4 separate regions of the Mus musculus genome follow, and regions 1, 2 and 3 are each reported to be linked to region 4. Evidence: microRNA targets listed by miRTarBase, many of them from high-throughput screens and not tested one by one. Region 4 holds a microRNA gene; each other region holds the end of a gene's coding sequence.
The links. Region 4 holds the annotated microRNA mmu-miR-759 (GCAGAGUGCAAACAAUUUUGAC, at 3,777-3,798, shown strand). A microRNA usually pairs through its seed, bases 2 to 8, with sites in the 3' UTR of a target mRNA and lowers its output. Matches are read on the target gene's strand: a 7mer-m8 pairs with bases 2 to 8, a 7mer-A1 pairs with bases 2 to 7 and ends in A, and an 8mer does both.

Region 1: miRTarBase lists Dars2 as a target of mmu-miR-759. Seed matches in the 3' UTR shown: 7mer-m8 at 5,432-5,438.
Region 2: miRTarBase lists Polr3gl as a target of mmu-miR-759. Seed matches in the 3' UTR shown: 7mer-m8 at 5,443-5,449.
Region 3: the mRNA of Lix1 is a reported target of mmu-miR-759. Seed matches in the 3' UTR shown: 7mer-m8 at 4,461-4,467 and 7mer-A1 at 4,336-4,342.

What each region holds. Positions count from the first base shown.
Region 1 is chr1:161,035,342-161,042,445 of GRCm38, forward strand. It overlaps Dars2 (aspartyl-tRNA synthetase 2 (mitochondrial)), which reads right to left. Exons shown (of 17, transcript NM_172644.4): 17 at 5,260-6,589. The coding sequence ends at 6,375. It overlaps Gas5 (growth arrest specific 5), which reads left to right. Exons shown (of 11, transcript NR_166052.1): 2 at 411-463; 3 at 642-673; 4 at 867-903; 5 at 1,208-1,238; 6 at 1,479-1,511; 7 at 1,947-1,974; 8 at 2,164-2,206; 9 at 2,654-2,696; 10 at 2,884-2,931; 11 at 3,116-3,198. It overlaps Snord47 (small nucleolar RNA, C/D box 47), which reads left to right and starts at 2,751; the gene lies at 2,751-2,815. It overlaps LOC115487643 (a small nucleolar RNA gene), which reads left to right and starts at 53; the gene lies at 53-132. It also overlaps LOC115487678, LOC115487638, LOC115487644, LOC115487677, LOC115487645 and LOC115487640.
Region 2 is chr3:96,572,845-96,579,966 of GRCm38, forward strand. It overlaps Polr3gl (polymerase (RNA) III (DNA directed) polypeptide G like), which reads right to left. Exons shown (of 8, transcript NM_027241.4): 7 at 6,954-7,067; 8 at 5,028-5,744. The coding sequence ends at 5,658. Among named protein-coding and RNA genes, the nearest start is that of Gm15441, 9.6 kb to the left of the region's middle.
Region 3 is chr17:17,456,434-17,463,555 of GRCm38, reverse strand. It overlaps Lix1 (limb and CNS expressed 1), which reads right to left. Exons shown (of 6, transcript NM_025681.2): 6 at 4,169-6,450. The coding sequence ends at 6,163. Among named protein-coding and RNA genes, the nearest start is that of Gm41537, 31 kb to the left of the region's middle.
Region 4 is chr14:79,734,684-79,741,805 of GRCm38, forward strand. Mir759 (microRNA 759) reads left to right here and starts at 3,748; the gene lies at 3,748-3,845.

The sequences.
Region 1 (7,104 bases), not on the chromosome of region 4:
AAAATAGCATTGGGTTTTGGTCTGGACACCAGACAAAGACGACTCAGCATGCGTGTTCATGCTATGATGAAGGCTATGTTGGTAGGGACAACTGAGCTTGTTGATGAATACCAACGATTCTGATGGCAGAGCATGCTGAGTCACCTCGTGCACGGTTCAACGGGGGTGGAATGCGAAGCCACGCGGTGTTTCTTTCGCGATCACCATGGGATGAAGGCTTTTGCTAGAGATTGCCAGCAGGCCTTAGTCACTAACAAAGAGGACGATTGCTCTTGGGAAGTACCTGGATTAGAGACTTATATGTAACTGCTGGATATGTGCAACTCAACAGTGCCTATGTGGACGGAGTTCTTTGTAAGACAGGTCCATTTTGTGGAAGTAGAACTACTAAAGATTAACATTTTTCTTAGGAATGGCAGTGTGGACCTCTGTGATGGGACATCTTGTGGGATCTCACAGCCAGGTAACTCAGTGGGGGAGGGGCATGACTAGAACATAATGACCACAAAGCCCATGATGGTATGAGAGTAGTGGACAGAAGGGATTTCTGAAAAACACTTTTCTGAGGCTTTAATTCAGCTACTGGAAAGGGTTTAGTTCCGTGAAGAAGGGGACTGACTGTTCACATCTCTTATTTCCAGTTCTGTGGCAAAGGAGGATGAAGGCTTACGAGGTGAGTACTGAATAGTAATGAGAAGTTAGGTTGAAAGGACAGTGCCACAATGATGACATCATATTTGCTACTCTTGACAGCTGGGGTGACGATAGCTTTAAACCACCATGATTATAACTGAGGCACACAAAATAATGATTTGGGGGCTACTTACAGAGTAAGCAGTTTTTACATAAAGATTCCCCCCCCCCAGGACTCGTCAGGAAGCTGGATAACAGAGCGAGCGCAATGTAAGCAATTTTGTGTGTGCATGTGGTCCCATTACAAGGAATACCCAATGGCAAATGAGCACTAAAGATCCCTCAACCCACACATTGAATGTATTGTTCCCTGAGAGCAATTGTAGATAGAGGAGTGGGTGGGAAGTCTGAAGTCAGGGCATTGTTTCTGCGTATCTGAGGAGGCTGGTTTTTGATATGTGGGAGCTAGTGGTCGTTAACGCATTTACCCCCTATTTGGTGGACTCTGGTTCCCCCATCTTAAGTGCTGAGTCAGGGGCCTAACCGGGCAGCTTTAACTATTTGTTTGTTGTAGGTGCTAGAATAGAAGACCAGAAAATGAAATGGTAAGTCAAACTAAAGGAATTGTAGATGCTAAACAGGCTTGGCTTTGTTGCACTCTGCCAAATACTGGCCACGTGTTCCATCCTGGTCATAGCTGAACACAGCCTGCATGATGACGAACAAATACTGACTACCTGAAGATCTTATTAGCTCTATCTGATGGTGGGCTTCCTTGACATTTATTGTGGGGCAAACTCAAATCTGTTGACTGCATTGAAAAGCTCTTTAATGTTTTTTTCTAGGTGGAGTTTGAGGCTGGATAGACAGTTTGAAAGGTAAGTATTGAAAAACACTTGAATTTGGGTCAGTACAAAGGGACATGCAGAGACTTTGAATCATCAAAACTCCAGCATGCATTGTCTTACGGATGTTTAGATAGGTGTGTTTTGGACAACACTCTGGGTTCTTGTAATGATGTTGATCAAATGTCTGAGCTGAAAATAACTTGTAGACAATTTTTAACACTGAAGAACCTTGTGGCAGGCAACTAAGAATAGTCGAATGATGTTTAGCATATTTGTAAGAGGTATTTTCTTTTAATTCTAGTTAACTGGTTGCATGCTTGTTCATTTGGCTGGCTTGCTTGGGTAAGAAGCCATTGGGGGCCTTGAATTCCCTCCAGTCATTTGCAGTATTTACTGCATAACATTTAGCTTTTGAACATGCATGTGCTACCATCAGTACTAAATGGTGCCTTAAATTTTTTTCAGGTACAAATAATGGTTTGAATAAAGAAAGGTAAGCATTGTAAGTTTGGTATTTACTATATGAATTAAGGTACTGTTAGTGATGATCAATAAAGTTAAACAGATGGGAATCTCTCTGAATAAGATTGAAGATTGATTGTTAAGCTGAAACAGTATTTAAGGACATCAGTAAATATACTTTACAAATACATATTTCTAAACGGAGTGTAATTTCTTACAGGTATTAATGGGTCACCTCAAGTGAAGGCACTGCAAACACAATGGTAAGTCTTTGAAATGTGCATGTATTAGTTACTTTCAACCCCTTCCAAACAAGCCGATACCATGATGATAACATAGTTCAGCAGACTTAACTCTGATGAACAATCATGTCTTTCGCTCCTATCTGATGTATCTGGCTGTAATGTTTTAAAGAGTTTTCCTTGAATAGTATTAGGAAATACAAGATAAGAGTCCCAAGTGATGAGGCCAAAGCCTGATGCTAAGGTGGCATGTGCTGTGCCACTGACTTAACCCAGTAGGACAATTTTATTGTGAAAAATACATAAGTTCCCTAGGGTATGACGATTGAAACTATAAATCTCAGGCCTCTTGGCAAGAGAATTGATGTGAGCCCATGGAGACTAGTGAAGACAACTGAACACTGAGAGAATAGTGTGAAATAAAATGAAGATAAGTAACTGCACTAATTATTTTTAATTTTCAAACAGATTGGTCATTCTGAATTTCCGGTCCTTCATTCTGAATTTCAAAGTAAGTCTGTCACTTGTTTTTGTACAGATTGTAATATAGCTTGTAACCAGTGATGTGATGATTCTGCCAAATGATACAAAGTGATATCACCTTTAAACCGTTCCATTTTATTTCTGAGGTTACTATACTAACATGTAAAATTTAACTACTCTAAGCCAGAGAAGTAAGTCAGTCTTTGTTTTCTTAGGGCTCCTGTGACAAGTGGACATGCAGTGACTGCACCTTTGTTTCTGAGGTGAGAACTGCAAATGCTTAACCGGGAACCTACTCCAGAATACATGATGATCTCACACAACTTGAACTCTCTCACTGATTACTTGATGATAGTAAAAGATCTGATGTTCTGTGTTTTAACAGTTACCATTTAAGTTAAAATTGTAGAAAAGTGTTTAACAGCTACCTTCTGTTGGTTGTTGCAGGTGCCTGGATGGAGGCTCAAATAGAAGATGGTGTCAGATATATTGTGTTAAAATTTTACCATTAAAGTGTATTATAACATGAACTGTGAAGTGTGCATTTTGTTCTGATGAGCACATTGTGGGGAGTTCACATTAGACATTTTTAAATCTATTAGCTGCCCAGTGACTGGATGGTATTGGTGTCAGTATAGTTTGTCTTTTTGTGCTTATAAGCACAAGCCATTATTTTTTTTTAAGATTTTTTTATTTATTATATGTAAGTACACTGTAGCTGTCTTCAGACACTCCAGAAGAGGGCATCAGATCTTGTTACAAATGGTTGTGAGCCACCATGTGGTTGCTGGGATTTGAACTCTGGACCTTCGGAAGAGCAGTTAGTACATCTCTCCAGCCCTAGAACACTTTTCTTATATCTTATAAAACTAAATATTTCATGGAGTATGCAAAGGGGAGTACAGTCACAAATCAGTTTGCCTGGAAATAGTTTTTTTTTCTCTTTCCTTTCTCAACACAATCTAAGATGAACCAAAAGAGAAGTGTGCTCTTACACACTGAGCCATCTCACCAGCCTCAAGCCATTATTCTGTTTGACATTTTAAATTAATAGGAACAGCGTTAACCAGAACTGGACTGACTGGTGGAGGTGGTATTTTCACTTTTGGCAGGTGACAGTGTCTGCTGAGTCTTACATCCTGAATGTCTAATCAGTTATGCAGTCTGAGTGGGTATACCAGCCCTTTAAAGGTCTGGAGATGGCCTGTAGGGGCACAGGTGTGAGGGAAAATTTGAAGTATAAACCTGGAAGGTAAAAGCCTAGACCTTGCAGTCCTGTTAAAGTGTTGTCCCCATGCCTAGGACTTTTGCAGTTATATATACCACCAGGCCTAACTCAGCATTCCTAAATTAGGAGGAACACTGAGGCTAATTGGCTCTTAGGTTTGATACTGTTCACTCTGGTCTGTTGGGCTCAGTTCTTGAGACCACGGAAACTACAATCCTTAATCTAACAAGTACAGTTTGGGATTCGTGCTGGGTGTGGTGGCCCCAAAGGAAAAGTTGAGGCTATTTTGTTTAGTCCTTTGGCTGTAGATAGTATAGGTAACTGGTCAGGGGTCCTTAGAACACTGGTTCCAGGCAAAATGTGTAGGTATTTGGAGCTGTACCTCTACAAGCTTTAGTCCCTGGGAATGGGGGCAGTGTTTCAATGCTCAACAGTTACCCTGGAACACATAGCTAAACATCTCATTTGGTGATTTATATTCTACACATAGTCTTACTGAAATGGATTTAAATTCCATCACATTCTTGGGTTGTGAGGATTTAAATTTTTCACATGCTAGTCACATACCTTTACTGTTAGTGGTCCATTTGTATGGTAATGCATGTGAAGAGGTCAGGATGACCTACACAAGTCTTCCTTTCACAATGTGGAATCCAGCTATCCAGTCATCTTGCCTGGCTGGTCTCTTGGAGGCAGGTTGCCTTGATGGGATTTCCATGTAGATCAGGCTGGTCTCAAACTTGGATCTGCCTAGGATCAAAGGTCTGTGCTTACTAGGACCAGCTGGGAGTTACTGGTCTGTTTTAAGACACCCATGGTTCCTTCTTCCAGAACACAAGGTCAGGGTTTCATTCACTGGATCTCTACAGTCACGCCCTTAGCTCAGATCTACCAGCCTCTGATCAAGTAGGGAGTCATCTGCCTCCTTCCACTTCAGCACCCTTAGCACTGCCTCATTAGGCCTTTAGATTGTGTATGATACTGGTGATTGAACCACTGAGCTGTGTACAACTGTCCTTCCAGGTCTCAGCTGCTTTGCCATCCTCCGAGGAATCGCCTAGTCCTGCAGTGAGTTTGTGTGTAGGGGATAGGGGGCAGAGAAGCCTTAGGGTGTTAAGGGGAGTGGTTTCCCCTTTCAGAGAAGGAATAGATGTTAGGGGTGGGAGGGGGTGCTGATAAACTCATTTGAATGTTTACTACTAGAGTGACATTTTTTAGAAAGGATTAGGTTTGTGACTGGAGGCTTTAAAACTGTCAAGAACCCATGCCTTTAGTCCCAGCACCAGGGAGGCAGAAGCAGCAGATCCCCAGAAGTTTGAGGCCAGCTTGGTCTACAGGAAAGAGTTCAGGACATGCAGGGCTACACAGAGAAACTGATTTTTGAAAGCCTTTAAGTAAGCAAGTTTCAGGGCTACAGAGAGTAATCCTGTCTTGAAAAACCATAAACAAGAACCACAGGCAGTGGTGGCACATGCTAATCCCAGCACTTAGGAGGCAGAGGCAGGCGGATTTGAGTTCAAGGCCAGTCTGGTCTACAGAGTGAGTTCCAGGACAGTCAGGGCTACACAGAAAAACCCTGTCTCGAAAACAGGCAAACAAAAAAAAACCATAAAAAAGAGCCCATGCCAGGAAAACTGTCTTGAAAAGCCATAAGAAAGCAAATAATTCTGTGCCAGGCCCAGTCTTCCAGCAACAGCAGGTCAGGATGTAGAACTCTCAGCTACTTCTATATCATGTCTGTGTTTGCCACCATGCTTACAGCTAAAACTATAAACCAGCACCAACTAAATGCTTTATAAAGAGTTGCTTTGGTTGTGGTGTCTCCTCACAGCAATAGAACAGTGGTTAGGACAGCTGCATTTCAGTCCTGTTTTACAGTATTTCAAATCACATATCTGCCACAAATGTAACCTCATGATTCTGGCAACAAGAGATCTGTGAGACAGCCAGGACAAGTGTCATTCACATTATATAAGCAGCTGGGGCAGCTAAGAGACATTTGTAGCTTGCTTAAGGTACAACACAATAGAATTCTGTTACTTGTAATTTTTTTTTTTGATCCTACTATACTACTTAGAACATTATATTGATGGCTGAAAGATTACCACAAAGTTTAATTTATGGTTCTAATGAGGCTAGATGAACTGAAACCTTGCTGCATTAACTGGCCAGTGTACAGAGGCAACCATGTTGTATTATCCTTATTCTAAATAACTTATCTGGGTATAGAAACATGCTTGGAAAACAGGAAGACTCTAAATACTCAATAAAGAGATTTTTTTGTTTGTTTGTTTCATTTGACAATTTTCCAATTAAAAAACTTCCACAGACAGTCCTAATGGTACACATGACCAAGTCACAATTGTGTAGCTTCTCTTTCTTACTCGGTAATGATTGCTTCTACACAGACATTTGGTTCTAAAGTCTGTGGCAGGTCTGGATCTTAATTTAAGTTTGGTGAAGCAGAGAAGACAAAAGTTAAGAGCTCAAGTGTTTGGAAGGTGTGGCGGATGCACTCTCCTCTTCTGAGTCTGCTGGCCACAAGACGTGGATATGGTAAGGCTTCAGCTCTTCTGGAGACACGGAGTCTGGAGCATTGCTCATAAGGTCCTGTCCTCGGTAGGATTTAGGGAAGGCTATGACATCTCTGATGCTGGGTGCTCCCGTGACAAGACATACCAGTCTGTCTAACCCTGTGATGTAAAATACAAAGTGAACATGATGAGAAATGTATAGCTTTTAGCTCTGAAAATAACTTTTTTGGGGGTGCGGAGGGTGTCAAGACAGGGTTTAGTCCTGGGTTGTCATGGAACTCACTCTGTAGACCAGGCTAGCCTTGAATGCAGAGATCCACTTGCCTCTGCCTCCTGAATCCTGGGACTAAAGGCTTGTGCCACCACCACTACCATTACTGATCTGATGGGCCTTTTTTTTTTTTTTCTTTCTTTTGAGACTCTGCAGCTCTGGCTGGCCTAGAACTTTGAGAGATATCCCTGAAAGCTGGGATTAAAGACATGCACCACTACCAACCTTGGTCTTTATGTAAAAGATGTAGAGAATTTTTTTTTTCCGGCCCTGGTTTCATACATTCTAGACAAATGCTCTACCACTGAGCTACATCCTTAGGCCTGTAGAGAATTTACATTAATTTTTGTTTGTTTGTTTGTTTGTCTGTCTGTTTTCTTTTTGAGATAGGATTCCATGTCAT
Region 2 (7,122 bases), not on the chromosome of region 4:
ATCCTAGGACTGGGGACATGGACACAGGCGGGTTGCTGAGATCAATGTCCAGCCATCCTACTTCAAATGCATACAAGGTAGACCATACACAAGGAATAGCACTTTAGGCTGCTTTCTGTCCTTTATACTTATAGACATGCATGAGCACACATATGCACACGGACAAACGGAAAAACTCACATCAAGATAGGAATAAACCAAGTGTGGTGGTACACACCTATAATTATAGCACTTTAATTTGGTTTTATTTGGGTTTTTTTTTGGGGGGGAGGGGAGGGGTTGGTGGTTGTTTTTGTTGATTGGTTTGTTTGTTTTTCCAACAAAGGCTCTCACTATGTAGCTCTAGTGGTCCTGGAATCTACTCTGTAGACCAGACTGGCCTCTAACTCACTCAGAGATCCACCTGCCTCTGTCTCCCAAGTACTGGGATTAAAGGCATGAGCCACTGTGCCTGGCAATCCGAGCACTTTGAAAGCTGAGGCAGACAGATTATTACATGTCTGAGATTAGCCTGCAATCCACAATGAATTCCCTGTCTTAAATAAAATAAAAACAAAAGCAAACCGGAAGTAGTGGTGTGTGCCCGGAATCGCAGCACTTGGGAGATGGAGGCAGAAGGATTAGGAGTTTAAGTGTTACATGATCAAGTTTAAGGCCAGCCTGGGCTCCCCAAGACCCTGTTGGGAATGAACAAAGCCAAACACACACATGGGTTTAATCCTCCTGGCAGGCACTGGTACCGCAGGGTGCTGGGGACAGGGTGAATTTGGATGTTTCTCCCTCTTTACCATAAATCCAGAGAGGGAGAAGCATAGGGCTGTGTCCACTGGGGCGGGGGGGGGGGGGGGGTCTGAGCTGTAGGAAGCACAGCCCATAGCTGATAGTCCTGGGACATGAGGCGGTTTGAATAGAAAATAGCCCAGACTCTATGATCATGGAAAACCTTCACCCCTCTGGTCTGGGGTGAGGTCAGTGCGTGCCTGCTAACTCCCACTGGGGTAGCTATAGCTAGGCAGCAGACAGAAGAGACACATTACATCCTAAGGATTAGGCGAACCATTTTTGCTGATAATACTCGAAACTAGAATTCTGCGTCGGGATTTCAAATTTCTATGTTTGTGATTTCCTTGGGGGGAATGTGAGTCTCAGTAGGGGAAAAGTCAATGGAGAAAAGGTCACACTAGCCTGGGTCAGATTACATAACAGAACTATTCCTGTCGAGCTCATTTATCTCCTCACCTCTGGCCAGACGTGTTTAAGGACAGATAGGAAGGACCTGTATCTGCAGCCGCTTCTTTGGTCTGAAATCTCTGTGGTGTCCTTGATGTGACTCCGGACTCGCAGGTCGTAACCTTGAACTCTCGGTTATAAGGTTTTCCTGCTTTCTTACTAGTTGTGGGAGTTGCTGGTCCCCAGCTACCCTGGCTGCAAAGGTTCTTGGAAACAACTGGCGATGTGCCTGAGGTATCTTTAGCTTGCCTGGCCGAAAATAAGGTGAGAAGATCAAGGAGATCGAATGACAGCTTGGCCAAACGGGCATGTCCCGCCATTTGTAGGACAAAGGTTGGAGTGACCACTGGGGATCAGTTGTGCTGTCTCAAAGACAAAATGTCATACAAATCAAGTCAGATGTGAACTCTGCCCTGCCTGGACTCCTGCTTTTACTGGCAGGTGACCTTGTTGGACCAAGCAAACGTCTGGAGTCCCGGTTCCATTTGTACCTTTACAAGTGAGTCTACACCAACCCTACTGTGGAGTAGGGGGTCTCAGGAGACAGCTCATGTATCAGATTCGTGTACCAGACATGAGACTGAGGCATGGGGGGGTCATGACACAACATTCCAAGGGTACAAGACTATGGAGTAAAGACACCAAAGCCCTGGGGTGATATTTTGCCTATCTGAGATGACAATTGTTCCCCTTGACTTAGCTTCTTCATTTCTTTTTTCTTTCTTTCTTTCTTTTTTTTTTTTTTTTTTTTTTTTTTTTTTTTTTTTGGTTTTTCAAGACAGGGTTTCTCTGTATAGCCCTGGCTGTCCTGGAACTCACTCTGTAGACCCACTTCATGCCCAGCTTCTTTTTCTTTTATTTCCATTGAGACAGTGTCTCCTGTGCCCCAGCTTGGACTCAAATTTTCCATAGAACCAAGGGTTAGAGGCATACGCTTTTATGCTCAGTTCTGTAGTGTTAGGGATAAAGTCTAGGACTTTGTGTATGCTGGGCAAGTGCTCTGACTACTGAGCTACACCCCCAGTTCACACCCTGCTTTATTCTCTACCAGCCCACACCCTTCTTTACTTTCAAAGTTCAAACAACCATAAAAGTAAGTTGCAGAAACCAACTACCTTTCCCTTACCAAACCGCGGTGCCTAATCGCTCCATCCACCTGCCTTCTGGCCTTCAGTTTTCTTTGTTCTCCACTCTCAACCTAAATTTGCTGCATCCAGATCTCTATTTGGTCCTCTCTTAAACCACATGAGTCCTTGCACCTGTTCACCGACTCCCCATTTCACGGGTCCTACCTAAGGAGGTGAGGCCTGGGAGGGTAGGTGTGGAACATGGGTTAGGTTTTCCTGCTGTAAAATCTAGTCTGCAGTCCAGGCATTGGAGCAATTTAGACAATAAGAACTGTTCCTAATGGGTATTATGTACCTGGGTGGCAAACACTGACTAGGTCTATGTAAATTAGTAGGCCAGGCCTCAACTGCTGTGCTGCCTGCCTCTCCAGGAAGAGCGGCTTTGACCCTGTCTGCTGGACCCAGGCTCCAGCCTCTGCCTGTTTGGGAGTGCTTGTGGGAAGTTGGGGAAAGGTCAGTGGACATGGTTTAGCTATTGCCTGGAACCAATTAGGAATTTGGGGAAGCTGCTGTGTCTCGTGTCACTGGCTTTGTCCAACAAGGTCACCTGCCAGGGAAGGCAGGAGTCCAGGCAGGGCAGAGTCCAAGAATGACTTGATATTTATGACACTTTGTCTTTGAGGTAGCATGACTGATCCCAAGTGGTCATTCCAACCTTTGTCCTCCTTTCTCCTGCGCCAGGGGAAAGGCAACGTGAAGGGACGGAACTGTGGAAAGATGGGTGGGGACTAGTGTCCTGCCCTCCTTTACCACCTTTAGTTCGGGATCTTTGGTCCCACCACCAAGTTCCCAGGGATGTGAGTTGGCTCATTCGGTGCTTGCCTCCAAGCCTTGCATGTGAGCCCCCAGACCCATATGGCAGCAGGAGAGTACTGACTCCAGCAGGCTGTCCTCTGGGCTCCCCACACACGCCATTTTGTACACCCTTGGCCAAATAAATGAAATGTTAAAAAAAAAAAAAAAAAAAAAAGAGGAGCATCAGGTGGGCTAGCCTGTGGCAGTGTCTCTCAACATAGACCTGGACTTAAGTAATGAGGGTTAGGATGGTGTCTCCCCTCCACTGTGTGTGCACGGGACAACGTAGGAAAAGACAACAGGTAAACAAAACAGAACCAAACCGTTCAGGATCTTTGTTTTCGGCTGTTTCCTCCCTAGCTACAGTCGCTGGCTGTAGAACTGTGGGAAACCCCAGGGACAAGTCTCCTGGCCCCGCCCTTCCCTCACCTCGGAGAGCTAGAAAAGGAAACACATCAATCACCACAAATTGCTCAATAACTCTGGAATGTTCGCTTCTATTCCTGTTCCCGGCTCTGCTTTCTTGGCTGGGCTTCTATCCCAACACTTGCTACCACATTTAAACGAGGCCTTGAAGGCGCTTCTCCTCCATGGAGTCTAAGCCCCTCTTTGCCCTGTACAATGGGGTCAGAAATACCTGACCTTGGATTTCGGTTCTCTAACCCACGATGCTGTAGGAAATTCGGTCGGCCTGTCTAAAAGCGATTGGGAAGCTTATTGGACGCTTCTCACACAGTCCATCCTTAGACTATGAAATGCTCAGTGGGGCCTCCCGTGGTAGCACGGCAGATGTCTCTGCAGGTCTCCTTACTCTGTTTCTATACTGGACACGCAACTTACTCGTGGCTGTGGCATGGCAAGTGCATGCAACCAATCAGCTCGAGGAAGCCTTCCTTAGAAGCCAATCAGAGGCCAGGGAAGTGACCTCACCCAAGGGAGCGCTGTGTGGGCGAGGAAGCCTCTCTTAGAGCTGAGTGTCCCTAAATCACTCCCTTCCTCCCCACCCTCCTTACTTCCTGGAAGATAACACCGCCTACCCCCTCCCCAAAGTGGAGTGAGAAAGGCTAACTTAATTCCACAAAGGAAAGAACAACAAAAAAGAAGGAGCTGCAAGCCACACCCCGGCTGTCTGTAGAGAACAGTATATTTAGGGAGATCCTAAATATGCCTTTCAAAGTGGGCTCTCCAGGTCCTGGAAGACGGTAAGCTGAAAGCAGTGAGTCACTCCTCTCTCCCGGCCCCTGGCTTTCTGGACTCCCTGCACAAAAATAGCTGCAATCACTCTTTGTAAATAAGGACACCATCAAGGTCAAGTGTGAGAAAGGAGAGGGCTGGTGTCCTGGTAAATGTGCCTGACTATGCAGGCTCATGTCCCTGTGCTGCTGGAGGCCAAAGGCTAGGGTAGTCTGTGGGCGAGCCTATGCTTTCCCCAGCGCTGCTTTCAGACAGCATTGCAGATGAGTTCCTGAATGTCCTCCAAGGGAGAGCTGAGAAGTAAAGGTCAAGGGTCAAGGCGGTCACACACACACACACACACACCCGTGTCACACTGGACACGCAGAGATTTGACACTGGTGGCACAGACCTGGGACCACAGCTAGGGAGGCTGAGACAGTTTCAGGCCTGTTTGGGCTACAGGGTTAAGTTCAAAGCCAACTTAGGCAACTTAGCAAAAGCTCTGCCTAAAAATTCTAAAGCAAATATATAAAAAGAGATGGGGGCATGGCTGAGTGATGGAACACCCGTTTAGCATTTGCATGGCTGTAAATTCAGTCCTCTGAAAGGGGGCGTGGCAGGGGTAAGAATGGCTTGACTGGACACCCCCTCAGCCTTGCCTCCGGCCCTTTCCCAGTACACATCACTCTGTTAGACATGTTAGACAGATACAAACATTTTATTTAAAAGTACAAAACAGGCCTTACTCCTCTTGACTGTTCCCACCCCAAGTCTCCCCTAAACTGTCAACGGCTGCGCATCACAGCCCCCAGGGATCACACAGGTCACCTGGATTCTAACCAATTTTTTCTCAACAGAAGTAAATGCTAGTAAGTCTGCTGTGGTGGCGCGTCCCTGTAATCCCAAGGCTTGGGGGGGTGGGGGGGGGTCCAAAATTCAAGGCCAGCCTCAGCTACATACCGAGTTCCAGGCCAGCTTGAGCTACATGAGATCTTCTCTCAAAAAACAATAACAAAGCTGGGCATGGTGGCGAATGCCTTTAATCCCAGCACTTGGGAGGCAGAGGCAGAGGCAGAGGCAGGCGGATTTCTGAGTTTGAGGCCAGCCTGGTCTACAGAGTGAGTTCCAGGACAGCCAGGGCTACACAGAGAAACCTGTCTGGAAAAAACAAACCAAGCCAACCAACCAAAACAAAACAAAACAAATAACAAAAATAGGAAAACCCCTAAGTACATAGGGATATTTAGTTCCTGTATCTCAAATCAAGAATGATATATGGGCCCAGGTTTTCAGTCTATGGCCCAGGTTTTCAGTCTATGCCCAGGTTTTTCAGTATATGGCCTCATCCATATTGTCATCGCTGTCCCCTCCAAAGTCCTCTCCATTGTCAAAATATGACATGATGTAATCAGTTTCCTGAAATGTAAAAAGAAGCAAAGATCAGGGGTGATGTCAGAGTTTTCTTCTCTTTGTCTCCAGGCTCTTTCTTCTCACACACACCTTTCCAGGTCTGGGACACCTCTACCTGCTGTTACATTCATTCCTTTTCATGCGTATAGGTGCTTTGACTGCATGTATGTGTATACTGCTTTCGTGCTAGAACCCTCGGAGGCCAGACAATGGCGTCAGATGCCCGGGAACTGGAGTCACCGGTTGTTGTGAGCCACCATGTGGATGCTGAGAGTGGAGCTCGAGTCCTATGGAAGAGCAGCATGCGCTCTTAACCAAGAGTCGTCACTCCTGCTCCATGTTATACAAGTTAAAGTATTTGTTTGCCTGTATATGTATGTTATATGTGTGTGTCCAAGTGTGCCCTGGTGCACATGTGGAAGTCAGGGGACAACTTGCAGGGGTCAGTCCTTCCACTCTGTGGGTTCTGGGGACTGCACTCAGGTCATCAGGCTTGGTAGCAAGCCCCTTTGCCCTCTGAGCCATATCACCCGCCATGTTCCGTGTTTTGAGGATAGGTCAGGGATAGATGAACTGGAGAAAGGCTTTTGGTGGCACTGCAACTCTCTGAGAATGTCTCCCGTGTAAGGGTTGAGAGCCCAGGGTTAGTGAGATGGCTCAGTACAAAAGGCCTTTGTTGTTAAGCCAGAGGACCTGTGGTCAATAACCAGACCCCACACGGGAAAAGAGAGAGCCAACTCTTGCAAGTTGTCTTCTGACCTCCACACATTTCACACACACACACACACACACACACTCATGCACACATGTAATAAAAGATGGCTTGGATGTTAAAGGCCTTTGTTGCTCTTTCGGAGTTCAGATAACTTGGGCAGCTCACACCTGCTTGTAACGCCCAGCTTCAGGGGTTTGGAGACCCTCTTCAGGCCTCCTCAGGCACCAGAACACGCTTGGTATGCAATCATACAGAGTCTTGTATGCTAAGTCTGGAGGCAGACTCATATGTAACCCCAACAGCAGGAAATAGAAGCAGGGGGGCTTCTGGGGAGTTCCTGGCCAGCCTGGCTTGCATAATGGAGACCCTGTCTCAAAACCAAAACCAAAAATAAAACAACAACAAGAAATCTTGAAAAGAAAAAAAAAAAAAGAGTTGTGAGCCTACAACTTGTAAGGGAGAAAGGAGGGGTGGGGTGGGGAGGAGCAAAGCCCCCTCACCTCCTCATGCTCCTCTTCATCGTATTCCTCTTCCTCCCCCTCTTCCTTCTCCTCCTCTTCTTCTTTCTCTTCATCCTCCTCCGAAGTCACTTCCTCCTCCTTCTTCTCTAGCGTCTCATGTGAGGATGAATAGGAAGAGAAACTCACTCACAGAATGCAGGGAGAGCTG
Region 3 (7,122 bases), not on the chromosome of region 4:
TCATGGACTTGCTCCCTTCTTTTGTATAGACAGACTTTCAGCTTAACCCATTATTTTAACCCTGACGCACTCTTTTCTAACTGGATATATAGTTTCTGAGGTGTTTCTTTTCCCCTGTAAATCCTACTGTCAACAAGTGTGGCACCTGAAATGCCTGGGAGGAAGGTGCCTGGATGAAGATACAGCCCACTGAACCCTCCTTTCCACAGAGTGCGAGCCAAGCCCTATTGGCTTTTCACAGACAGCTGATAAATGGGATAAGGAGATACTGTCCTTGATTACACATGAAGGAATGAAAAAAGACCTCAAACAAGTTGACAACAAGTATGCACTAAATAAAAGACAAAGTTGAAGGAAAGTTGTCTTAAGTTACCAAACTTAATCTTTTTAAAAAATGTTCTCATTTATGATAAAAGGAACTATATTTTGGCATTTATGATACATGAAGTCTCCTCTCTTAGTTTTAAAAAGTTCATTTGCACTAGTGGTTTTGTGATCAAAGGCTTTTACCCAATAGACAAATAGGTAGAGATGGTAAATGGTAATAGATAGATAGATAGGTAGGTAGATAGATAGATAGATAGATAGATAGATAGATAGATAGATAGATGATAGGTAGATGATAGATAGATAGATAGATAGATAGATGATAGATAGATAGATAGATAGATAGATGATAGATAATTGATAGATAGATAGATAGATAGATAGATAGATAGATAGATAGATAGATAGATGATAGATAGATAGATAGATAGATAGCCCAGATCATTTTACTTATTAACTGAAAGGGTAAAACATCTCATTCTTTTTAATTTTAGGTAGGTGTAGTCTCAAATTGGCTTTTCAGTTTTTCTAGCAATCTGGAATCTCAATAGATCATCTGCGTTTTCAAGTTTTCCCTTTGGAAACCATCTTTCACCAAATACTGTGTATTTGCTTCCCAATATCACCAACGAATTACTTATGGGCTAGAACAGTGTTTGTGTAGACACAGTAGATCACTTCAGAATAGCATGGTTCCTACATTACATTATGACTGTCTACATCACAACTCACAGGTCAGCAAGGCAGGTTTAAGATTTTCAAATAATCCAGTCTCAAGTAGGGATGAATAAAGGATCTGGACTATTGAACTGTGAATTTTTTTTTTACTCCAACTGTTTGCATTTGTTGGGTTAACAATTACCCCTTTCATTTGGGAGCATTAGCAGCCACTGATAATGAAAGCCAGTGCCCAGCAGAAACAGACTAGAGGAAATTTTCTGACTCACTTGCATAGCACCAATTCATCAGTTCTGAAAATATATGAAGTGTGACTGCAGACTAATATGAGTGATTAGATTTTTGTGTGCAACAGAGCTCTTACATATAAATGAGCAACATCCCCTTCAGGAGTCCTCAGGGTGTCTGTCTGTGTGTTCCTATGTGATTGGTCTGGAAGCACTTTTATATTTCCCCTCTGGGGAGATCATTCTTTTGAATATCTTTAATAGGGCAGTTTGTCCTTGAAGGAAGAATTTGATTTTTTGGAAATGGTAAAATGTATTCATGGTACACATCTGTTGCTTGTGTCTACCCAGAAGTCTTTTTCCCAATTTCTGGTTGAAGAGACCACATTTCTTCTATTGTTTATGCTGTCTTTGAAGGTCTTTGAGAAGGAAATAGTTTTTAAATATCTTGGGAAATTGCCATTTTTTCCCTCTGGTAACTGAACCCATATTTTGCCCTCCTCCTTTTGCACTATGTCTAAGTTGTCTATATGAGCTTGACTTGACCACTGGTTGTAGTGAGACAGACAGGTAACACAGGTCTGACCACAACCATCAACTCAGAAGCAGACTTGGGACAAAAGCATTGTGGTGGTACTTGGTTCTTGGATTGGAACTGATAGGGTGACTTACTCATATGGCTACTATCATGTTGCATCAGGAAAGAATCACAGTAAAAATGGATCCAGAATTTAAGAAAGCAAACCCTGAGACATGCGCAATCATGCATACGTGTGTGCATAGCCATGAAAAACCACGCAAAGATGTCAAGTCCTGGTTTATTGTTCTGGTAGAAAAAGCCATTCTCTTTGTTTTGTTTGTTTTCAGAAATTTGACAGAAGAAACCATGACTAAATGGTGATAGAGAGTGAAAAAAAGACAACCAATCTGGACATGAGAAATGACCCCAGGGAGATGTTTTAGAATAAGGCCCGCTACCTAGGGCTGTTCCTTGTTCTACCTTTTGGATCTGGAAACCAAATAAGGGCCTTGCACATACTAGGCAAGTGCTTGATCTTTGAGATAAACCCAAATTTCTTGGTTTATCAGACTCAGGTTTTGTGGATCAAAATTTTAGGTACTCTATAGCTAAGTAGTCTTTTCTGGGAAAATCGCAACCAATTCTGGTCTTGCTCTTAAACACACACACACCACTCAGAGTTGGATTAATTTGTTTACAAATAAACTTATGGAATACAATTCATGCTGAAATTAGGAACTGCCTATAAATTGCAATCTAGTATTTCTCACTGGAAACCAGCATTCATTAGAAATCAAAAGCTGTAAGAGTGAAGTTCTGCTTACATTTCTACACCAGTTTTGCTCTCAGACAAAAATATGACCAAGGTTTACTTAGATTGAAAGAAGTGAGTTTTTGGCTCCTAGCAGGATGCTTGAAAGTCAGACCAAATGTTGGTGCCGAGGTGCTCTTTAGAGAGGAAAAACATAGCTCTTTGCCCCTTCTGCTAATTTCTAGCTTCCAGAAAGATACTCCTCTGTATGTTCTTACCTGAGAGGCCAGGGCTATACTGCTCAGTGAAGGATATATTAAGTGAATTCAGGCTGGAATATCAAAGACTGGAGTGTGGTCAGAAGCATGAAAAGAAGTATTAAATAACCTAGAACTGCCTAGAATTTGCTCAGTCGTTCTGCAATACAGTGGAACTTTTTAACAAACAAGGATCTCAGGTGATTCTGTGTAGATGTTTCACATACAGTATATAAAAAAAGGAGTCCACCCTGGGCAGAGTCTGGATCAGATGACTTGTTAGCTATATTGAAAAACACCGAGGAGATTAGACTAGTTTGTGATAGCATTTCCAAGGGTAATTAGGCCATGAGAGCTCTGACCTAACTAATGGATTAATGCCTTCACGGATTTATAATAGGATGGTATTGTTGGGAGTTCATAGGGGATGGACACTGGTTGGGGTATGTCACTGAAAGTGTGTCTGTCGGGGCTGTATTTTGCCATGGTTTCTTCTTGTATTCATCTTTTTTTGTTTTTTAGCTGTCAATGTAAACTGACCCTCCTCCCCTGTGTATGTGTGCGCACACATCTGTGTGTACACTTTTCCTCTTTTAGTTCGGAGTGACAGAGAAAACATGTTCAAGGAAAAGTATCTACTCATGTAGTCTAAAAGAGTTCTAAATTTTGGTTTGGGTCCAAGATCAAAGTGGGACAGTGGCTCTACAGGTTAGGTAATGGACTTGCATCAGTGATGACTAGAGAAAGCAGGCAGTAGCTGTCAACTATGCTGTATATTAGAACTGTCTGATGAAAGATATTCAAGACTGATGCATGGGCCATGCACCCAAACCGTCTAATTTCACCTTGAAACAGTCTGACCACTTAAAAAAGTTAAAGCTCTTTGGGTATTTTACATGCACAACCCAAAACACTAAGGTAGAGAAAATAAGTTCTTTTATATTGGAACCCTAGATGAATGCAGTATCAACACTCCAGACCATTTGCTCCAAGTTTCAGCGAAGAAGAAGGCTGTGATTTGAATTTTTATGGACACCACAAAAACATAAGGTGACAATGTTTGGGCTAGTGGTTACCTATGAACATAGTGAAAGGTGAGGAAAACTTTGATAGTCTGACATAAGCTATGAAGAAAGACACTGCGAAATAAAAATAAGAACTCTAAAACCTCTAGTCTATAGCCAACTACAATTGTTTTGACTGGAAACATTTTTCCCCCAAAGAAATAGGAGAGTTATAAACTTTTGGGGTTTCCCCCCCATTTGTTTATGCCCAGACTGAGGTGACCAGATTCTCAGTGAAGAACACATCCAAGGACTTGATTCTATTTCTTTTCTAGAAATAGTTAAGGTTAAGAGCAAAAGCGCACGTGAACCGTAGCTTTAAAAAAAAAAAATGGACAGCCAAATTCAGAATATTGAAGGAACAATGATTTTATTAAATCTGTAATGTTCTGGTACAGTTGCCAAAGTTTAGTGTCTAGTTTGTCTTAATTTCTTTCTCCATAACAACAAGGTGCATTTTGATTTTTATAAAAATTAAACCATCATGCCCCAAACAATACAATTCTTGATTTCAGAGTAATGGTAGTAATCTTAAAAATATGGTCTATGGCCAGGCAGTGGTGGCGCACGCCTTTAATCCCAGCACTTGGGAGGCAGAGGCAGGCAGATTTCTGAGTTCGAGGCCAGTCTGGTCTACAGAGTGAGTTCCAGGACAGCCAGGGCTACACAGAGAAACCCTGTCTCGGAAAAAAAAAAAAAAAGAAAGAAAAGAAAAGAAAAAAATATATGGTCTATGGGTTACTAGATCTCTCATATGAAGTGTAAAACTATGTATGCTTTTAAAATTGTGAGCTTCAAACTAAGGGTCAATGATGCTCTGGGCTAATCCATAAATTTTGGGGCAGGGCCATATGTTTTATGAAATTATTATATATTGCTATGAGATAGTCTGTGGCTTTTTATTCAATTTTCAGGGAGTTCATAGCAACAACAAGCACCACCTTCATGGCTCCATCTTCTTAGAGACTCCTTTATTCTTGTCCCTTTCTACAGTGCAGTGTTAAGAACAAGCGTGCGTGTTTGTCTTGTCCCTCTCTTAGGTTCCTCTGTGCCAGTGTTACAGACATGTGTGATACTCGGTTGGCACAATGCCCTGGCTGAAGTTGATTTGCTATTAGATAGGGCCAGCCATGGCCATAACCTTTGTTGCTTTTGCTGAAGTTTCTGAGAATATTCCAAGGAAAAATAGTCTACGTAATTTTCAGTTCAGAGAATTTGTACAGTGTCATAATTATAAAAGAGAGGAGAAGCTTGACCCACGCAAGCACTGTTCTTGCATCTAATCAGATATCAATCTTCTGAGGTGGACATTGCCAAACACAGTAAACATGCACTGCACGTAAAGATCCCAGCCAACATGGGGAAATGTGCTGAATTTGAAATGATAAAAAGTTTGTAAAAAAAAAAATGAAATAGAAATTTCTTCACTTAAAAATTTATTCAACACACACACAAATCCTAACTCCTTCTCAAGATTACAAAAATCTAAAGTTTTTTTTTCCTTAGAACATTTAGCCTCATTATGGGAAGTGATATGATTTTTAAAAAAATATCATTTTAAAATGAAATCATCTAACACTACACACCATCACCTTTTTAGGACATTGGAATAGGGCAGTTATGTACTTAATTTCATCCTGTCTGAGAAGTATATGTGATAGTGTTTGTTATTAAAGCTAATTTCAAAATATATAATGAGGATACAGTAATTTTCAGGAGGGTTCAAAACATGCTGAGTGTTGTACATTTTTTTTAAATCATCTGTACTATTTATTTACTCTTAAGTATTTAAAACATTGTTATAGGCCAGGTGGTTGTGGTAGATGTAGTTAATCCTAGTACTCAGAAGCAGAGCTCTGAGTTCAAGGCCAGCCTGATCTAAAGACAAGTTCCAGGACAGCCAGGGCTACACAGAGAAACTGTGCCCCCCCAAAAAAAAAGAAAAAAAGAAGTTATCATGATCCTTTCCCTAGTCCTGGCTGCTGTTTTCTCCAAGACTGCTCTACTGGACTGTTGTGTGAAGCAATGCATACAATTTAGCAAGGCACATATCAACTAGGTTTTTTAGATTAGATCAAACCCTGAAGAATGCTTTCTAAAGTAATTTTGTTGTCTTTCTTTTTATTCTGAAGTAGAATCCCTAAGGGAATGGTTGAAAACATACATGAAGTAGGAAGTTGGGATCGGGATCAGTCAACCCTAGCCTCCCATTCTGTGAACAGACTGTGTAGGAGCAGTACAGCCTTCAGGTACTGACTATCATGCTAAAATCTCTAACAACTTCTGTCAGGTAGATTCCTGATGTGAACGTCCTCAGGAAACCTGCCACCTGGCCTTGCTAATGATAGCCACACAGAGCCGTGAGGCTTAGCTGGTCATCACTGGGTGAGGAAGGGTCAGGGTCACTATAGATCTGAGTCAGGGCCAAGCTCAGGATTTCTTTTTTTTCTTTGTAAAATCGTAGTTCTTGTCCAGCCTTCCTGGCTTCCTCCAGCTGCCCTAGGGCTGCACGCAGCTCTTGAGAGAGAATTCCTGGTGATTCACGCTCCTTCATAATCCAGTCCAGGGCCATGTGGCTACGCATCTTTTCATCTAAAGAATATTGGGAATAGTAGGAGATGACTTCCTAGAACCAAGAAACAAAAATTCAGAGTGTCAATAAAGAGAAAGAAAGGTGCATGTGTGCAGAGCCTTCCATACCTCCCCAATCACATGGCTTTCAAACAAGTAACCCTAACTTTAAAAATCTGAAACGAGGGCTAGAGAGATGGCTCAGTGGTTAAGAACTCAATTCCCAGCAACCACACGGTGGCTCACAGCCATCATCTCTAAAGGGATCTGATGTCCTCTTCTGGTGTGTCTGGAAACAGGTATAGTGTACTCATATAAATAAAATAAATCTTTTAAAAAAATATGAAACCAATTTCCATTGACATACTTCTAAAAAGGAAATGATGAACTAATCTGGTCTTGCAAAGCCTGTCACTCCAGAATAAGTCAAAACATAACACTAAAAATTACAAAATGAAGCTCTAGAAAATGCAAGCCTGTCCTTGAAACTGTATTCCTGTAACAACTAATATAAATATAACTTAATTCTTCATTGAACCCTTAAGCCCAGTATCATTGCCTTTGACAAGACAGAAACAGGAAAGGAGCTACACAGACAAGTTGAGTTAGAATAAGATTTGGACATGCCTAGTACAGGAATGGGGAAGGACTCAGTCAAGGGGACTTCAGAACAAACAAGACTCTGAAACCCAAGACTCTACATCCTAGCTTCTGTGCTTTGGTGTGG
Region 4 (7,122 bases):
ATGAACACACAGGCATGAATACTCTACATATACACATCAGACTCAATGGTAACTCTTATTTTAGTGGTTAGTCTAGTGTGGTGGTTTGAATGAGAATGGCCCCTACAGATGCATATGTTTGAACACGGTTCCCAGTTGGTGGAACTCTTTGGGAAGGATTTGGAGGTATGGCCTTGTCTGAGGAGATATGTTGCTGGAGGTAGACTTGAAGTTTCAAAAGAGTTCTGGCCATTCATTCCTGGTGTGCTTTCTGCCTCCTGCTTGTGCACCAAGATGTGAGTTACCAGCTGTTGCTGTTCCAGTGCCATGCCTGCCTGCCTGCCTGTCTGCTGCTGTGCATCTATCGTGATGGTGATGGACTCCTATCCCTCTGAAACTGTAAGCCCCAAATAAATCTCTCCTTCTATACACTGCCTTGGTCACGGTGTTTTAGTCCAGCAATCAAAAAGTAACTGATACACTGAGGATGCTCCTATTACAACAGTGTTAGTCAGTGTTCCATCACTGTAACAAAATGCCTGTGACCAAGCTTATTTTGACTCACAGTTCTTAAGGTTCCAGTTCAATTGGTACTACTACTGCTTTGGGCAAGGCAGCATATTATGGAAGGAGCTGCTCTTCTCATGCCCAAGAAGACAAAGGGACAGAGGTCTCACAGTCCCCTTCAAGAGCTTGCTTCCAATGACCAAATGCCTACTGTGTGGATTGTCTCCTAAAAGTTTTACCACCTCTCAATAGTTCCAATGTGATGAACAAGGAGGACCTTGGGGGCACATTAAGATCTAAACTTCATTTAAGGTCTAAGATGGTAGTGGTACATGCTTATAATTCTAGCACGTAGAGAGGCAGGGGCATGGCTACAAGTGTGAGGCCAGGGTAGGATACATGAGGTTCTAAGTCAGCTAGGGTCACATAGTGAGATCCTCGTTCAAACAGCAGCAATGAAAAACTAAGTTAATTGACTGAACCGCTTTTCAGAAGACAACAAGGTTCCTGCCCTAATTTCTCCTACCAGCTAAAGTGAGGGAGAGAGAGTGGAGATTTGACAAGTAAACCCAGCATAGTAGACCCCAATCAGAGCTCTGTTCTGTCTAGCTGTGCAGATTTGTTAAGACGCTCCCCTTATCCTCTGACCTGTAAAATGAACCGTCATAGACCAACCTCTTTATACTCTCGTAAGGGTTCACCAAGTTAGCCACGGTTGTTGTTTCTTGAGTTCATTGATTTTTAGTTATGCTCTCTCTTCTGATTAGATGACTATGAAGTCACATCTTGGCCAGGAATGTGTGTGTGTGTGTATAATAGTCTCCAAGTTCGGCCTCAGAATTAAGCATTTCCTTGGGGACTGCTCAAGGTGAGCATCAGAAATGAACACTAGACCATTCTCTGTGTGTCCTGAGTATTAAGACAAAGGGAAGGCTCATAAATGGTGGCTGAGGCTAACAGGTAGGCTCCCTACCTCCAAAAGCGTGGAATCTCCTTGATGAATTTGAAGCAGAGCCTAGGACCAGCAGCCACCTTCTGCTAACTGCTAACTGCACAGAAACAGAGCTGATTGCTAGTGTCTTGTCTACCATAAAGAACTTTAGTAAGTTGGTCTTATTTTATTAGTATTAAACACATTTAATTCCATACATCCCAGCTAAGAAAAAGCTCATCTTCAATGGTTGCTAAAAAAACTAAACAGAGATTTGGAGTTAAGACAAACTGCCTTGAGGAGCTGTGAGTGTGGCTGTTTACATGTGACTTCGGGCATCTTCCTCCATCAGGTGGGTCTCTCAGCTGACTGTTGTACTTAGCAGTCCGGCTAGTCTACCTACCCAGCTTTCCCTCTAAACCTCAGCTTGGGCATCTACACACAGAGGGGAGAATGCCAGGTTTTTTTCCTTATTAAGGTTGTAGTAAGAGTCGCTACAAGCATGCAACTTACTGTCCGGCTCATCGTGAATTCTCAGTCATGATGCTACTTGTAACTAACTTTCTAAAGTGTGGTTTGAAACAGTCTAATCACAAACCTCAAGCATTAAAAAAAAAAAATCCTCAGTACAGATGTTACCTGGGAAAGGATTTTTATCTTTTATTTCTTAGTTCGTCCTCTCGGTTAGCATTCGGCTAAATAAGATTCTGAATACTCACCTCCTAGACCGGGCTTTCACAGAAAACCCTCTCCTGGGTCTCAACTACAGCACTGTCTGGAAAAAAAAAAAATAAAAAAATAAAGCCGTACTGCTCACGGTTGATTGCTTTGAGAAATAGCACATTGGCAGGATTTCTTCCCTTCCCCCACCAGCCAGGCTTGGGGGTAGATAGAGCTTCACTATGGAATCCGACTGGGCTTCAGATACCAACAGCCTGGAATGTTTCAGGGGAAGACCTTGAATGGTCTCCAAGCAGGGAATGGAGGCTGAGAGAGCCAGATTTTCAGTCTTGAAGGACCCTTGATTAGTTCCCCAAAACAGAACAATCAGTTTCCAGTGACCTTGCCTGGTATATTTTGACAAAACATTTGCCGATTAACGGAATCTCATTCTCTTCCCGACTAGGTGGCTTGGATCTACTCTTCTGTGTCTGGAAAGATCACTGCACGAGATGTCTGGGACAGGAGGAAGCAGCCCCACTGCTTTCTATCACTAAGGAAGGGGAGATCTAGTGTGTTTGCATAACCACAGTCCTTAACATCTTTCTCTTTGTCTCAACACATTTTCTTTGAGCAGGAGCTGTTGAGGTAGCTCCACCCATTTTCCAGTTTCCAAGATATTTGTGACAAAACAAGAAGGAATCTTTATTAAAATGTGAAAGTGGACTGTCCAAATGGCTCAGTAGGTAAAGATACTTGCCATGTAAATCTCTCGACTTGGAGTTACGTCTCCACAACCCACTTAGGTGGAAGGAGAGAACTGACTTCTACAAAGCTGTCCTCTGACATTCAGTTGTGGACTGACACACACACACACACACACACACACACACACACACACACACACACACAGACACACACACACACACACACACACAGACACACACACAAACACACCACTGTCTCTTACTTAGGATTAGTAGATGTCTGTGTTTTCAAGTGAGTTGGGGAGGAGGAGGTAGGTTACCCAGGGTCATGGTATTATAGAAGTCAGGTTTGGGGGTGGAGGTTGGGGGGGGGTGCCAATAGGCAGGCGCAGTAGACCTTCACTGCCACCTTGTGGTCACCTGGGACCCCAGAGGGTCATTTTTCTGGACTGTCTTCCTCACTCTCTTAGGCCGCCAGCCTGAAACCTCTCCCACTGTATCTGGTGTTATTTCAATGGATCTTTTGTTATAGTTTTTTCTTACCAGTGCACTTTAACTTTAGGGGGAATTGCGGAAAGCCAGCACATTTCTATATTCTGAAAAAAAAATATTTGCGGGGAAGAAGAGGTCAGGTTCCATGAGGGCTCTTTAAGACGAAACGGCTCAAAGCCTTGCAAGGTTCCTGTTTCTTCAGGCTGCAGCCAGTCTCAGCTGCAGCAGAGATGCTCAGGGCAGAAGGCAGGCCCTGGGGTGGCACCTGTCTTTGTTATCACCTGGTCAATTGGGGAAGTCAGGACAGAGGAGGATCCGTTCATTATCTCATTTATCACCCTCGTCTGTGGTCCAAATTAGTTCTCACATCAGATTCTGATAGTATCAGATTCAATATCATCAGCTGGAATATGAACGGTATTTTTCAGCACACACACAAAAAAATGACTTTCAAGGCATGTATTATGGGCAGGATTATAATAAATTAAATGCCTAAACTGGCAGAGTGCAAACAATTTTGACTCAGATCTAAATGTTTGCACTGGCTGTTTAAACATTTAATTTGTTCCAATGGAGGTAGCAGCACAGACTAAGCATGCTAATTAAACTCGGGCTTTGGCAACGTGAGTCATCTCGTGGACACAAAGCGCGACAAACCAGGACGGAGAAAGCCATTACGTGTGGTTTCCTCGTTCTCCAAATGAACACTGTACATCCTTCAACCCTGCAGACATTAGTAATTGTTAATGAATTGTTCCATCTTTCTGAAGTGACTTTTAGATGATGCTGTGCTACTGTTACTCTGGGAAACAACTTTGCTAATTAAGTTGCAGGGAAGTTCATCAACTACAGATAATTGGTTAAAGTGATTACGTGGATAATCTGTTTCATGTTCCATTAAAAATGGAAAATGTACAGAGGAGGAGGGATACGAATGACAAGGCATCTTGCCCAAAATAATTGCCTCCACTGCCCTCAAATCACTACCACCACCATCATCAACTACATCATCACACCTTTTGGGGCAGGGGGAATGCTCAGGCATGATTCTCTTGACTGGTCTTGGTTCTGCTACGGATTGATAGAGCATGCTGGCTAAGTCTTCTCTAAGCTTCCGGTTCCTTTGTAAAATGAGGGCATTCTTGTGCTAAATTAGGGCTAAGTGATCTATTTCCCAAATGCAGTGATTTAAATAGGAAAGCAGTTCGACTCTCTTTTAGAAGTATCTCAGGTATTTGGGGCTGGCAGGGGAGCACTCCATTCTCTCACTACAAAGCCTTTGGTAGCTCCCCAATGCCTGCAGAGCCACGTTCAAAGCTGCTCACCATCTGACCCCAGTCTACACTTCTAACTTCATCCTCCTTAGCCTGTCTGCTTGAATCTGTCTTTAATGTGCTGCTCCGCCCACCTGGAATGCCCATCTCTCCTTCACCTCCGCACTTTATTCTGTCTTTATGATCTGCACTCCTTCAAATGCTCCTTCGTAAATCTGTGTAATTATTCTCTTGCCTCTGGCTGACCCCTGCTATAGCATTCATTGTCTTTTCCTTCTAATTCTGATATTTTTGGCTCCATGTCCAATTTCATTTCTTATTCATACAAACAGCACTCATGTTTCTGGAGACAGAAAACTGTATGTTATTTATGTTATTATAAATAATATTAATTATATTATTATGTAGAAAACAGTATATTATTTATCTCTTGGGATTTTTTTTTAAAGACTTCATGTATCTCAGGCTAACCCAGAACTCTATGTAGGTGAGGATGACCCAGAGCTGCCTTTTCCACATCTCGAGTCCTGGAGTTACAGGTCTAATTTATGACGTGCTAGGGAGCAAAGTTGGGGCAAAATGTTCTTCTCAACTGAACTACATTCCCAGTCTTTACCTCCTTTATCTTTATTCCCCATCCCTCTCTTATTCCTTCCTTTGATATCTAGCATTGTTCTGTGTGCAAAAATAACAGCAATAATAATTAAAATTAAATTAAATTAAATTTAAAAAGAATGTTGAACTAAATGCAACAAAATGTTGTTCCAGATTAAAAAAAAACAACCCAGTCACCAAATAGCAACCGTTTGTTAACTCAAGGGGCCAATTAGGCAATGGGTTATTCATTGGAAAATTCCAGATGTGAATCACAACCGTTCCAATTAGATTTACATCCTGTGTTAAACTAAGAACAGCAAACAGAAATAACTCCTTGGGCCCCACATCCATGTGGAATAGTGTGCCACTCAGTTCATTAGGAAGACAGCTTTCTGGAGATGGCTGTTTTTTTTTTTTTTTTTTTTTTTTTTAATTTTGTTCACGGGATGGAGAGATGGCTCAGTGGTTATGTGCTCTGGCTGCTCCTCTAGAGAATCTAGGTTCCATTTCCAGTACCCTTAAAGCAGCTAACAACTGTCTGTTACAGGGGATCTGACACCTTCATACAGACATGCATGCGAGTTAAACAGCAAAGCACATAAAAACCAAAACCAAACCAAACCAAACCAAACCAAACCAAACCAAACCACAAAACCCCTTTTGTTCATGAACCATGCAGAAAAAATAGGGTGACCTTAGATATATGCACAAGGACGTTGTATGTGGTCTAGCTAAAGTCTATCTCTATTGGTGACATTTCTGCTTCTGTGCTTGCCCTTGGCATGTTAGATTTAAGAGTGGGTTGTGTGGCAGGGGTTCATTTAAGAGGGTAATCTTAGATTATGGGGTCACGTAGAGGTGGCTCAGAGGTTGTGGCCCTCCTATGGCTTTACTGTGCCATTGGGAAAACTTAGCACCTCTCCTCAAACCTCATTCTTTTGCTTTGCACATTTATACTGTTCTCCTCTTACAGGGCTGTTTGTGTGGATGCTGGCAGCTCATTAGTGTGGAGCTTTGAAAAGATCATGGGACAGCCTGTTGGGTACTGCCGGAGGCCCACCTCCAGGGTTCTGAGAGTGACTATTAAAGCCATGCATTTGCTCGCTCCAGTCACTGAGCCCACACCAATAGTTCCTTGGTTGCATTTATAACATTGCAGCTTAAAAAAAAAAAAAAGAAATTAAATTTTGCTTTTTCAAATTTTACAGATAAGCCATGAGTTCTTCTGCTTGAACGGATTTTGAATCATAATTTAGTTAATGCCAGGATGTCAGTAAACCCAGTGGAATTGAGCAAGGGCAAAGAAAGGAGAAAGCCGAAGGGCGAGACCCGCACGGCTTCACAGATCTGCCTGGCAATTTTCTTCCTTTCCCCCTCTATGCCTTTCATTTCTCTTGAACACGTAAGCCTTTCTTCCTCTTCATTTTGACAGATCTGGCCAGGTGGCATGGATGCTCATAAAAGCTAAGACGGGTGTTGAATTGTCACCCAGTTCAGAAATCCTCAATTCTTTATGACTGTCGTCCTACAGCTCACAAGTGATTGGGACTAATCTACTTCAAACTGGTGGGGCTCAGAACATCTGAGTGGATGTCTCCCCTCACCGTCCCAACAGGTTGCCACTCAACCTATGTATTCCAGAGCAGTGTGAGCTGGGTTCTGCTCTTGAAGGGTTCTATGTATAGGGATAGCTCAGTTACCAGCAGGGATGGTGTGGTGGCTTAGAATAGGTTTGTTCCCCGTAGACACATGCATTTGAATACTTGGCCATAGGAAGTGGCACTATTAGGAGGTGTGGTCTTGTTGGAGGAAGTGTGCCACTGTGTTGGTGGGCTTTGAGTCCCCAATGTGGAAGATAGTCTTTTCGTGGCTCCCTTCAGATCAAGATGTAGAACTCTCAGTTCCTCCGGCACTATGCTTGCAAGCTGCCATGCTCCTGCCATGATGATAATGGACTGAACTCCTGAAACTCTAA